Callithrix jacchus: one gene and its partners. The protein of the gene in region 2 purifies or fractionates together with the protein of the main gene of each other region. This does not show direct contact. Links are inferred from orthologs where the notes say so. Each region holds a gene or a part of one and is shown on either strand. Other genes may lie near its edges. The genes, in order: NUP85, NUP37 and NUP107.

What was found.
Region 1: the proteins of NUP37 (region 2) and NUP85 purify together in Homo sapiens (affinity purification with western blotting; 4 studies listed by BioGRID and IntAct, with this or other methods). This does not show direct contact. The link is inferred for Callithrix jacchus from reciprocal best matches to the Homo sapiens genes NUP37 and NUP85.
Region 3: the proteins of NUP37 (region 2) and NUP107 purify together in Homo sapiens (affinity purification with mass spectrometry; 7 studies listed by BioGRID and IntAct, with this or other methods). This does not show direct contact. The link is inferred for Callithrix jacchus from reciprocal best matches to the Homo sapiens genes NUP37 and NUP107.

What each region holds. Positions count from the first base shown.
Region 1 is NC_133506.1:131,121,932-131,126,252, reverse strand, and holds the start of NUP85 (nuclear pore complex protein Nup85), read right to left. Parts: upstream 2,901-4,321; 5' UTR 2,825-2,900; coding exon 2,792-2,824; intron 1-2,791. UniProt on the Homo sapiens protein: Essential component of the nuclear pore complex (NPC) that seems to be required for NPC assembly and maintenance. As part of the NPC Nup107-160 subcomplex plays a role in RNA export and in tethering NUP96/Nup98 and NUP153 to the nucleus.
Region 2 is NC_133510.1:105,138,250-105,141,877, reverse strand, and holds part of NUP37 (nucleoporin Nup37), read left to right. Parts: intron 1-579; coding exon 580-652; intron 653-2,461; coding exon 2,462-2,556; intron 2,557-3,628. UniProt on the Homo sapiens protein: Component of the Nup107-160 subcomplex of the nuclear pore complex (NPC). The Nup107-160 subcomplex is required for the assembly of a functional NPC.
Region 3 is NC_133510.1:50,461,675-50,465,940, forward strand, and holds the start of NUP107 (nuclear pore complex protein Nup107), read right to left. Parts: upstream 2,857-4,266; 5' UTR 2,790-2,856; coding exon 2,764-2,789; exon of another isoform or gene 2,177-2,763; intron 910-2,176; coding exon 818-909; intron 331-817; coding exon 244-330; intron 1-243. UniProt on the Homo sapiens protein: Plays a role in the nuclear pore complex (NPC) assembly and/or maintenance. Required for the assembly of peripheral proteins into the NPC. May anchor NUP62 to the NPC. Involved in nephrogenesis.

The DNA of each region.
Region 1 (4,321 bases), on a different chromosome or scaffold from region 2:
TCCACCTCCTGAGGCAATTCTCCTGCCTCAGCCTCCTGAGTAGCTGGGATTACAGGCACGCACCACCATGCCCAGCTTATTTTTTGTTTTTAGTAGAGATGGGGTTTCAGCATGTTGACCAGGATGGTCTCAATCTCTTGACCTCGTGATCCACCTGCCTCGGCCTCCCAAAGCGCTGGGATTACAGGCATGAGCCACCGCGCCGAGCCCCGCTCTTCTTAAACTATGGGCAAACTCCTACCCTCCATTCCTCCCTCCTCTCCCTTAGCCTACGTTCTAAAAAACCTCAAACTTCTCCGGCTATCACCTGACCTAAAACCTAAGCATCTTATTTTCTTCTGCAATACTGCTTGACCATGATATAAATTGGACAATGGCTCTAAATGTCCATTGTCCATTTAGAAAATGGTACCTTCAATTTCTCTATCCTACAGGATCTAGATAACTTTCGTAGTAAAATGGGCAAATTCTCTACGTCCAGGCATTTTTTTTTACACACCAATCTCTCCCTAATCTCTGTTCTCAATGCAACCCATCCCAAATTTTCCTTCTCTCCCTTCCATCTGCCCCTCCTGCCTCTGCCAGCAACCTAGAATTCTCCTTGTCCATCGACCCTTCCGACCTTTCTCCTCCCTGCCTGTCGGAACCAGGCCCTAATCCAGGACCTAAGCCCAACCCCTAGAGCTTTCCTCCTCTTCCTCTGCCCACAACCCATTTCCTTATGCCCCTCCTGTCACCTCGCCACCTCATAAGTGCCCCAGCTTGCAGTTTAGTCCTGTGGCTACCTCCTCCACCCCTGTCTGACAATTCCCTCTTCGAGAGGTGGCTGGAGCCAAAGGCATAGTTAGGGTGCAGGTTCCTTTCTCTTTATCCGACCTTTCCCAAATCAGCCAATGGTTAGGCTCTTTTACATCAGATCCTCCAATACTTAACCCAGGCCTGTAATCTCGCCTGGAGTGACTTAAATGTCATCCTTACTTCTACTCTCACCCCTGAAGAATGCTTGATATGCATTTTATCACCCATTGAGTCCCTAACATTACAAAAAGCCACAGAAATTAGAATCTGGCCCTCAAACCCCACAACAGGAATTAATTGACCTCACCTTTAAGGTGTTAAATAATAGGGAAAAAGCTACCCAGGGGCAGCGTATTTCGGAATTACAAATGCTTGCCTCCTCTGTAAGATAGACCACAGCTACTTCTTCTTCGGCTCACAGAAGTTTCAGACCACCAAACCCACAGCGTCCAGACTTCTCTTCAGGACCTCCTTCCCCAAAGCCTTGCTTCAAATGCCGAGAACCTGGCCACTGAGCCAAGGAATGCCTGCAGCCCGGATTTTTTTTTTTTTTTTTTTGAGACAGAGTCTTACTCTGTCGCCAGTCTGGAGTGCAGTGGCGGGATCTCGACTCACTGCAGCCTCCGCCTCCTGGGTTCAAGCAATTCTCTTGCCTCAGCCACCCAAGCAGCTGGGACTACAGGCGCGCGCCACCATGCCCAGCTAATTTTTGTATTTAAGTAGAGACGGAGTTTCAACATGTTGGCTAGGCTGGTCTGGATCTCTTGACCTCGTGATCCGCCCGCCTCAGCCTCCCAACCGGGATTCTTCCTAAGCCATGTCCTGTCTGTGTGGGACCCCAATGGAGGTAGGACTGCCAGACTCAAACTGCTGTCTTTAAGTCTCCAGGAGCCCAACCCGGGAGCCCTCAGGCTGACTCTTTCCCTGATCTCCTTGGCTTGGTGGCTGAAGACTGATGCTGCCTGAACATCTCAGAGGCTCCCTGGAACATCACAAACACTGCGCTTCGAGTAACTGGTGGAGGTCAAGTCCATCCCCTTCTTAATCAACCCGGAGCCACACACTCCACACTGCCTTCTTTTCAAGGACCTGTCTCCTTGGCCTCCATAACTGTTGTGGGAATTGACGGCAAGGTCTCCAGGCCTCTCAAAACTCCCCAAGTCTGGTGTCAATTAGGCCAGCACCACTTTCCATATTCTTTCCTAATCAGTCCCACTTGTCCAATTCCTCTGTTAGGCCAAGATATCCTAGCAAAATTGTCTGCCTCCTTAACTATTCCTGGGCTATAGCCACACCTCACTGGCGCCCTCCTCCCCGAACCCATACCTCCTGAATAGCTCCTCTTATGTCCCCCTACCTTAACCCTAGGGTGAGGGACACCGCCTCCCCATCCGTGGCTACAAGTCACTCTAACTTTCCACTGCCCACCCCAAACCTATAAAACCAACTCCTATCTCACCGCCCTTCGCTGACTCTTTTCGGATTCAGCCCGCCCACACCCAGGTGAATAAACAGCCATGTTGCTCACACAAAGTCTGGGTGTATCTTCATTCAAAGCGCACGTTTTAACAGTCTCCCCAGAGAATAAATACGTTCAATAAACCTTAGACCACACAGGCAGAAGCTCAATGTACCGCTTGCAAAGCTTAACATAGCTAGAAGAAAAACATCAATACTTCTGCTCGGGCTGAACCCACTCTACTGCCCAAGAGGAAAAGCGAGGGAAATAGAAAGGCCAGGAAGACAAAGGAGGGAAAGGGATGGAGTGGGACCTTCGGGGCCAGGACTTGTGACTGGTGGCAGAAACCCTGCAACCACTGCAACTCGAGGGCGGGCACTTCGTTAACACTGCGACCTTCGGACAGTGGCAACTGAGTCAAGGGTAGGGGACGAGCGCCTAGCGGCCAGGAGGGAAGCAGACAAGCCTGAACTAACGAAGCAGACGCAGTTCTGGAGCCGCAAGGACGAACAAGCCTTTTCGGGGCGCCCTTACAGTGACTGTTGGCTCGCCATCAAGCTCCTCCATAGCGCTACACTCCAGCCTCCTGGAAGTCGCCCCACCGCCAATGCTTCCCGCTCAGGCCTCCAGCTCAGAGCTGGCTAAGAGAGGACCCCGCTGGGCGCCTCCTGCAGCGCCTGCAAGCCCAAACCCTCAATGCTGCGGGGGCCTCTCCTCTCAGCCACCCGTCTGCGGTCCTCTGAGCGGGTCCTTCCTTTCTGGCCTCGACAGCACGTCAGGGAGAAGAGCGCCGAGGGCAGACTGCATTCACGGTACCGCGCTCACAGGATCAGGCGGCACCGCGGACATCCCCGCGCCGGGCGGAGAAAAGGCCCCCGGAGACGGCGGGAGGGGCGGGAGGACCCTGGGGCCAGAGACGGTGCGACTGCGCGTGCGTGAGCTTTGCGGCGCTGGTGCGAACTCGGGCAGCGCTAGGGCCCCAGTGAGCGTACAACCTCTACCAACGCTGGGAGTCCTCGCCCCATCCTGGTCTCCACTTTAGTGTCGTCGCAGCTGCTTGTCCAAACCCCGACAGTCAAACGGATTTGTGCTGGAAAGCAATCGCCGCCACTCCCACACTAGAACACATACAAGAAGCACCCGGACAAAATCGACACCACTGAAGGCTGGGCGCGGTGGCTCACTCCTCTAATCTCCGCACTTTGGCAGGCCTAGGTGGGCGGATCACTGGAGGTCAGGGGTTCGAGACCAGCCTGGCCAACATGAGGAAACCTCGTCTCTACTTAGAATACAGGCCGGGCGCAGTGGCTCACGCCTGTACTCCTAGCACTTTGGGAGGGCTAGGCGGGCGGATTACGTGAGGTCCGGGACTTCGAGACCAGCCTGACCAACATGAAGAAACCCTGTCTCTACTAAAAATACAAATTAGCCGGGCATGGTGGCGCATGCCTGTAATCCCAGCTCCTCGGGAGGCTGAAACAGGAGAATCGCTTGAACCCGGGAGGTGGAGGTTGCAGTGAGCCAAGATCTCGACACTGCACTCCAGCCTGGGCAACACAGTGAGACTCCATCTCAAAAAAAACAAATCTTGGCTGGGCGCGGTGGCTCACGCCTATAATCCCAGCACTTTGTGAGGCCGAGACGAGTGGATCACAAGGTCAAGAGATCGAGACCATCCTGGTCAACATGGTGAAACCCCGTCTCTACTAAAAACACAAAAATTAGCTGGGCATGGTGGTGCACGCCTGTAGTCCCAGCTACTCGGGAGGCTGAGGCAGGAGAATTGCCTGAACCCAGGAGGCGGAGGTTGCGATGAGCCGAGATCCGCCACTGCACTCCAGCCTGGGTAACAAGAGCAAAACTCCGTCTCAAAAAAAAAAAAAACAAATCTTAGTGCTATACTTCCTTTATTATTTTTCTTTTAAGGCTGACAAAATGACATTTGAAGATAACAAAAGTACTTAGATTGTCTGACCAAGAGCTAGGTAACATTGAGGAAAATGTATTGGCAATATTCTTTGGTCTAAGACTGATATATACCAGTCATTTTACCCAATCATTCAA
Region 2 (3,628 bases):
ATAATCCATTGATGAACTACTGAAAAATGTATCTTAAATGCTTAAAGTATAAATAATACTCCAACCTTTAGCAAGTATGTCAGCTCTTATAGGTATAAAAATAGTATCTTATATAATCTGATTTATTTGGAGAAATAGAAAAACTAAGGAGACTGGATAAACTATGGATAACAGAAGAGGGCAAAGACTAAGGTAGATGTGTAACAATATTTTTAACATCTCTTGTTGACTGGCTAAAATGAAGATACTTTTTAAAATCTATCCTTTTATGCTTTTAAGAAAACATTTAAAATTAAATTCAAGTGCTGATTTAGTGTAAAATTCTATACTTATTATTGAAGAAGCAAATCCAGAATAAACTAAACTTTTATATGTTCTCTCCTACTCCTACTTTCTGTGATGTCTATGTAATACTTTTTACAGTGGAGCCACAACATTCTTCTTTCTTCCTCCATAAAAAGCAAGATTATGAGTTACTGATAACAACTTCAGTGACCTGGAGGGAAAGATCAGGGGAGGGAGAGACCTTTCCCTTCAAAGGCTGAAAATTGGAATATTTTTGTTTTTTATTGCTTCCAGATTTTGTACTTCAGCTGCTGATTTGAAAATTAGATTGTTTACTTCAGATCTTCAAGATAAAAATGAATATAAGGTATGTTGACAGCTATACAAATCTTTAGAGTTTATTTTAACACATGTTTATTTTTTGCTGTTTTAATTGAATTTATCCCAATTTAAAATGGCTTTTTATGGTCATCATTAAAGTATATAATTTAGGGTCTCATTTACTCTATTATAGGTAATAGTAACCAGGTTACTATATTAAGAACTATATTCTTAATAATGACTGCAGATTATAAATCTCGTATCACTTATTAACTTGAAATGTTAGGTAGGAACAACAAATAAGAAAGAATTAGAAATTCAAAGTTGGAAATATTAGGAATATAATCAACATGAACATCCATAGAGTAAGAGTTGAACTTCAAGGGAACAAATGATCAGCACAGCATAGCACAGGCCAGATTCCAAAGTAGTTAAGAGCACAGACACAGAATCCAGATTCCTTGCATTTAAACCTCTGTGTTATTACTTAGTAATGGTGTGACCTTGGTTAAGTAACCGAATCTCTTTGTGCTAATATCCTCAGCTGTAAAATGTGGGTAATCATAGCAGCTGCCTTATAGAATTATCAGCGTTGACTGAGCAAATTCATATAAAACACTTAGAATAATGCTTGTTACACAGCAAAACCCATATGTGTGTTTTCTATTACCATAATAATTACCCTCAGGTTGGGCTGAAATTCCATCATGTTTTCTTATAAGAATGGTATTGCCTTGGCTTTCTAATAAACCAAAATATGAATATTGTTATAAAACAAAGATAAATGAAACCTTTCCAATCATTTAGAAAATAGTAAAAAATTATGCTCTAAGCTATTTACAATTGGCTTAACCTATTGTACAGATTGGCTGATTTAAGGCTATAACAAAAATAACCAAGTATATAAATGCACATAAAATTTTGACCTATCCAAAGTTAAAATGGTAGTTATAATATACATTAAACATTCACGGTTAATTTAGTTTGCCTTGTAGGCTATGACAGAAGCTTTGGAGAGTGATTTGGAGGACCTGGGTTGGTGAAAGTTTTCAGCAATGTTTGACCCAAATCTTTTTTCTTTTTTTCATGTTACATTTCTACATAGTTATCAGTACTATACAGAACTGCTCTAATAACCTCAGAATGAGATCAAATTTGAATTTTTGGAAAGAAGGAAGGGTAGAAAAAATGATAATCATTAAAGTAATTATCTGACAGGCCTATTTAGGATTTCAACCATGAAGATTTAGACAGATTGAACCTTACCTGCTCACACAGTCCTCTACCATGCAACTTCTCATTTGTTGCTTCTCTGTCAAGGCAAAGATTTTTGTGTTGATGATGACTATAGTCTTACAACAACTAGCTGTCTTCACTGCTGGCAGTCACATTGAACATGTAAATGAAGGCATTAGATCGTGAAGTCCATCCTGTGTGTGTTTGTTAAGTAGTAGTGAGTATACAGAGCAACAGTTATAAGGTAAAAAACCTAGAGGCACTCTACCTCAGTACTCCTAAAAAGTTTTCTAGCTCTAATTTTTATTTAAGCTTTATATAAAAAGTGAGAAAGGAGGTGATATGAGGACAGGTACAATAAAAATGTATGTGTGTTTTTGTAAGAAATGCATACTAAAAAAGAAAGACTAAGCTAATAGTGTGTTGAATGATCAATTTCTTTCCAAGATAGACCTTCCAAAAAGTGGGTGTATAAATCATGCTTTAAAAATAGCAGATTGCTTAAGAAATATTTATAGAAAAACATGCAGTGAAAGCTTTTAAGGCAGTGAAGCAAAAATATTGTGTAGGAATATTATAGATTTTCCTGTTTTCTTACTAAGTTTTCTCTTTCTGTCAGGTTTTAGAGGGCCATTCAGATTTCATTAATGGTTTGGTGTTTCATCCCGAAAGTGGCCAAGGAATTGCAAGTGTGAGTGACGATCATACCTGCAGGTATGTTGCTTATGTTATAACCACATTTGTAAATTTTCATTTTATTTTAATGAGAATTATATTTTTTGAATGAGAAAAAAATGTGACTTTTATATAAATTCTATAGAGTGTTGTAAAAGAAGCATACCTTATTTGAACTGTAGGTATGACACAAACATGAGTTTCAAAACCAGTGAGTTGGGTCCTCGTCGCCGTTAATGAAAAGTTCCCTTGCCTCCCTTGGGTGTCTTTTATGTCTTATTTCGGATTTTGACATTTACGAAATCCAAATATGTATCGGGCTAGGCACAGTGGCTCACACCAGTAATCTCAGCTCTTTGGGAGGTCAAGGCAGGTGGATCACCTAAGGTCAGAAGTTCACGACCAGCCTGACCAACATGGCAAACTCCATTTCTACTAAACATACAAAAATTAGCCAGCAGTAATGGTGTGCACTTGTAATCCCAGCTACTTGTGGGGCCAAGGCAAGAGAATCTCTAGAACCTGGGAGACTGAGGTTGCAGTTAGCCAAGATTGTGCCACGGCACTCAAGCCTGAGTGACAGAGCGAAACTCCGTCTCAAAAAAAAAAAGCCCAAACATATATTGGATCAAATTCCCCAATACTGGACAAGATGCGTAGGAATAAAATGCAGTTGTCAAGTTACCTCACAGAGCCTATATAAGTTAGTGTTTAATAATGAACTCTAACTCTTATCTGCTACATAAGACTGATGGAAAATTTAGTGTTTTGATAAATTCAGAGGTTTCTACATAAGGTTTTATGTAGATACAATACATGTCACTATTTTGTTCTTGTACCCCACCCCCTAACTTAGGACAGATGAGGTAGCTATAACATTTTAATAGTGCCTAAAGCTGGAGAATATCACAAGTAAAGAACAAGATGAAAACAATAGCGGGTTGAAATAAGCTGAGCAGTCAGGAGTGAAATGAGTGCGTCAGTCATTGGAAGGGTGTCAGTTGCTTCATTTGCTTTAACAATACTTTGAGGAAGCAAAAAACTGCTGCTCTGCTGTTTTACATAATGTTTTATAAAACTGTGCCAAAATCCTTAGTATTTATTGGTACTT
Region 3 (4,266 bases), about 55 Mb from region 2:
TTCTCTAAGTCTTGCTTTCAGTTTTGGTAAAATAGAATTAACAATACCTATGTCATAGTTACTGTGTGTTTATGTAAAATACAGTACTTTGTACATGGCAAGAGTTCAACAAATAACTGCAATCATTATTATTTGTGCTTAATTATTGATATAGTAACCAAATACTAATTGTTCTACAATAAATGTTAGCTGCTATTATAATTATCATTATTATTAAGTGCTTTAAAAGCAAAAAAGTCTTACAAGGCTGTCGAAATGAGCTAGGAGTTCGAGGAATAACCTGGTTTCTTGGTGTAGTATTACCAAAATTTTCATCTTGAGATGACTGAACTGTACAATGAGTTAAGAAAAGTTTTCCACGTAGAAAAGAGATCATTAAAGTGAGAACTAACAATATTTTTACTATACAAATTATGTGAATACATTTACCAAGAATAAGGTATTTTATGGCTACTATTTTTCTATGCAAAGGGTAAATGATTCCTTCTGCCATTTAAATTCTCAGATGTCAGTCTTAGATAACTACTGAACTAAATGTTTTTAGTCAGTTTTCAAATAATAAAAAAATCTAATTTCAGCAGAAGCTAACCACAATATGATAGTCAGTAGTAAAATGAAATATCTTTATTCTTAGGGAAACATAATCTCATTAAATTTTAGCATTATATTTACCAAATGACAGTTCCGCAGAGTGAAAAAAAATTTCTACAGGATTTTATTACAGCTAACATTTAATACTCTCATAAAAGAAAATTCTACAACACCGATTCCAAGCATGTTACAATTTTTATAATGATGCTTAAATCGCAAAGGATACTTAAAACTCTTTTTTGAGCACTCTGTTTCCGTGCAGTCCGTGTCACCTCTGCCTCCCGGATAACAGGGGATGATATATCTCCAAAGCCACTCCTAAAGTAGTATAATCAAGCTTACATAAGTGAAATGAGAATGTAGTATTTGTAAAAGAATTTTATCATCACAGCTGGAGTAAAGGGCTCTGAGTAAGTTGTGGTATAGGTCATTCCAATAGCCAAGTCTTAGATCTTTTGCTGAGAATGCACTCCTGGCTCCAAATCCTGCTTATTCTTCAAAGCCTTACTCAAATCTTACCTGCACAAAGACTTCTCTGACTTTCTAGTACTCACTATGTTATTTTCTCCTAAGGAATTATTTCAACACTTGGAATCTATAACACTGTTTTAGATAACTGCTTCATAAAAGTCAATCTCATTTCCCTTGTTGGATTGAGGAGTTATCTAATTACAGGAATTCTCTCTTAAAAGATTTTCTGCAGTCTCCAAAATGCTTTAAAACACAGGTACCACTGAAAAACAAACAACAACACAAAACAGAGCTTGTGAGATAAGAGGGTAAATAAAAGAATTCTGGTAAATGGAGCAGAATGATCCTTCAAATTATTTCAACCCAGGATGTCTCCTGTCCCATCACATCACTCCCTGTCATTTTCACTCAAAGGTCTAGAAACGAAATTGTGTGGATGAAAAGGCCTATGTTTAAGGCAAGAATCTGATATGCTTTTCCTCCACTTAAAACCTTCAGATATTCCTTCAGCAAGAAAGTATGGAAAACAATAACCAAAACAAAATTTAAAAGGTTTAATTAAAAAACAACAACAAAAAAAACTTCAGATATCTCTCTCTAGTCTATAGAAGTACAAATTCCCTAAAAAGCTATTTACAATGTGACCCCAGTTTAGAGGTTCAGTCTTATATTCAGCCACAAATATCGCTTTAAACATATTCTGCATGTGACTGCCGACAAAGCACGTACTTTTTTCTATATCCTAACACCTTTGAATAAGTTTCTTTTAAAACGACCTACAGTGGCTCCCTTGAGCACCTGGTCAACAACTACTTACTCCTCAAAGAGCCCCAGGTAGCCTGGAGACACACAGATGCAGGTTGGGAATTTGGTCCTTGTATTTACTACTAGCCTTCTAACTTTCAGCAAGTTCCTTAACCTCTTTTAGTCTCAGTGGTATCTATGAAAAAAGGATAACAGCACATATTTTCATAGAATTTTTCTTGTTCTGAAGATTAAACAAGCTAATAATATATATTCAAATCCTTTGGAACAATGCAGTCACATAGCAGTACTCAAGGTTTGGAGTACCAATAATGTACTATTATTACTCAAACACCAACTAGAAAGTTACCTTCTTCGAGAGGTCTTCCTGATAGTTATATAGTGACAGGGAGACTTAATCGTTCCAAAACACTTATCACTTTATATGCTTGGTTGTCTCCACTACACAACCAATTCCCCGAGGTGAAGGATCTTGAATAACTGATCTTTGTTGCAGCCGGCTAGCATAATACCCAGATTATAGAAGGAACCCAGTATTTGATGCTGGCACTTGTGATCAGAAAGTCTGGGCTGAGATCCCAGTATCTTCATTGACTGGCTTTGTGATCTCAGGCTGGTCACTCAGCATGTAGAACGCCGGGCTACCTACCCCGCCCACCTCAGGAAAGAATAGTGTTGCTGCCCCAAAGCGCCGAATAGATCGCAGAACACAGTGAGAATGTAGGGAACCATCATAATCCGTATCCCACCCCGACGCAAGCCAAGCGACCTTTTCCGCATTTGTAGCCAAATTTCCTGGCCTGGGGAAGGAGTCTTAGGGGAAGCACCCGGGACCTCCTCCTTGGCTTTTTCTGGGAGTCTAGTTTCACCTATTTCGTTTCGCCAGCAGGCGAGAGGGACAAGACTTCGGGCTCAGCTCCCACGATCAGAACTGACCTGTCCATGGCTAAAGCCTTTTCCATACAGAACCAAGGTTGGCTCCAGTTTAGTTACCGCGTTTTAGCCTTCCCGCTCTCCGGAAGCAAGCCTTTCGACCTGGAAGCACTCTCCCTAAAACAGCCCCACAGAAAAAGCGCAGGGGAGAAGAAACAACGTTCCCACCTAGCGCATGCGCGACTTGAGCCTACATGAGCTAGCCCGGTGGGCGCAGGCGCAAAGTTTGCCAACTTGTGCCTGGCTGGACCAGACAGGACCGGGGGCGGGACCTAGTCGCGTTTAGCCCGGAAGCGTTGCGGCCGCTTTGCCTGACCGATGTCTGTGGGCGTGGAACAGGCGTTGGGTTCTCCTACTGGGAAAAACGAATTATGTTGATAGTCTGGAAAAATGTGAAGTCATTACCTGGTATTCTCTCAGAAAGCGCCTGTTGTTGGAATTCAGATATGTGGGCTCTGCCTCGAGAAATTTCTGTTTCTCTCCCTACGCTCAGTCCTTTGTGCTGTAGCTTCATACAGTTTTTGAAAGTATTTTCCATAACTGCTATTTGTTCTTTACTTGGTATTTTTTGCTATGGAGGAAAAAAAGTTCACCCGTATTAAAAAGTAGAAAGGCAAGCGTAAAATATGATGGTATTGCCCTCTATTCAAAGTGCCGTGTAGGCAAATAGTGGTTATATTTTGGTCTTGAAGGAGTCACATTTTTGTTTTTTTTCATATTTGAAAGTAGTGACTGGTTATTAACTGATAAGATTACAAAAATAATATTAGACACCTCAGTTTATCCATTTAATAAGCCTGTTGATATGGTCTTTTCTGTTGCTGGCATTTATACCTTTCATTAATACAAAATAGGTAGTCCTTCATTCTACCTCGTGGAGAAGATAATTTGAAGGATCACGGGAACTTGAAGAATTTTTCAACAACATAGAGCTCTCGAATCAGATTCTCCAGTCAGATGATGCCATATTTATCAAGAGATCTAGCAATTAAAGAGTTATCTCTGTTAAGGTAATTTGTTTATTGGTTTTACTATAACCAGTAGGTATATCAGTTTATTTGTTGATTTCAGGTTCAGGTGCCCCATGCAATAGGTGGTTCTGCAATCCTCAACATTGTTAACCGAAACCTTGTTGAGTTTAACAAAGGTGCCATTGACAATCTGGGGAAAGTGAAGAAGTTGCCACAGACTTTTGGGCTTACACTATTGATACATTTGATCCTTATTGCAAATGACATTTTGGGTTTCACAGATATGTAGAAATTGCCAGCTTTTCTTGCCATATATTCCTGGTGACAGTGCTGAGCTTTTTTTTCTTTTCTTTTTGAGATTATGTCTCGCTCTAGTCCAGGCTGGAGGGCCGTGGCGTGATCTCGGCTCACTGCGAAGTCTGCAAGCAAGGAAAAAGCTACATCTATGAAAAAGCTAAGCACTGTCGGGTGCGGTGGCTACCCCTGTAATCCCAGCACTTTGGGAGGTCCAGGTGGGAGGGATGGCTTGGGCCCA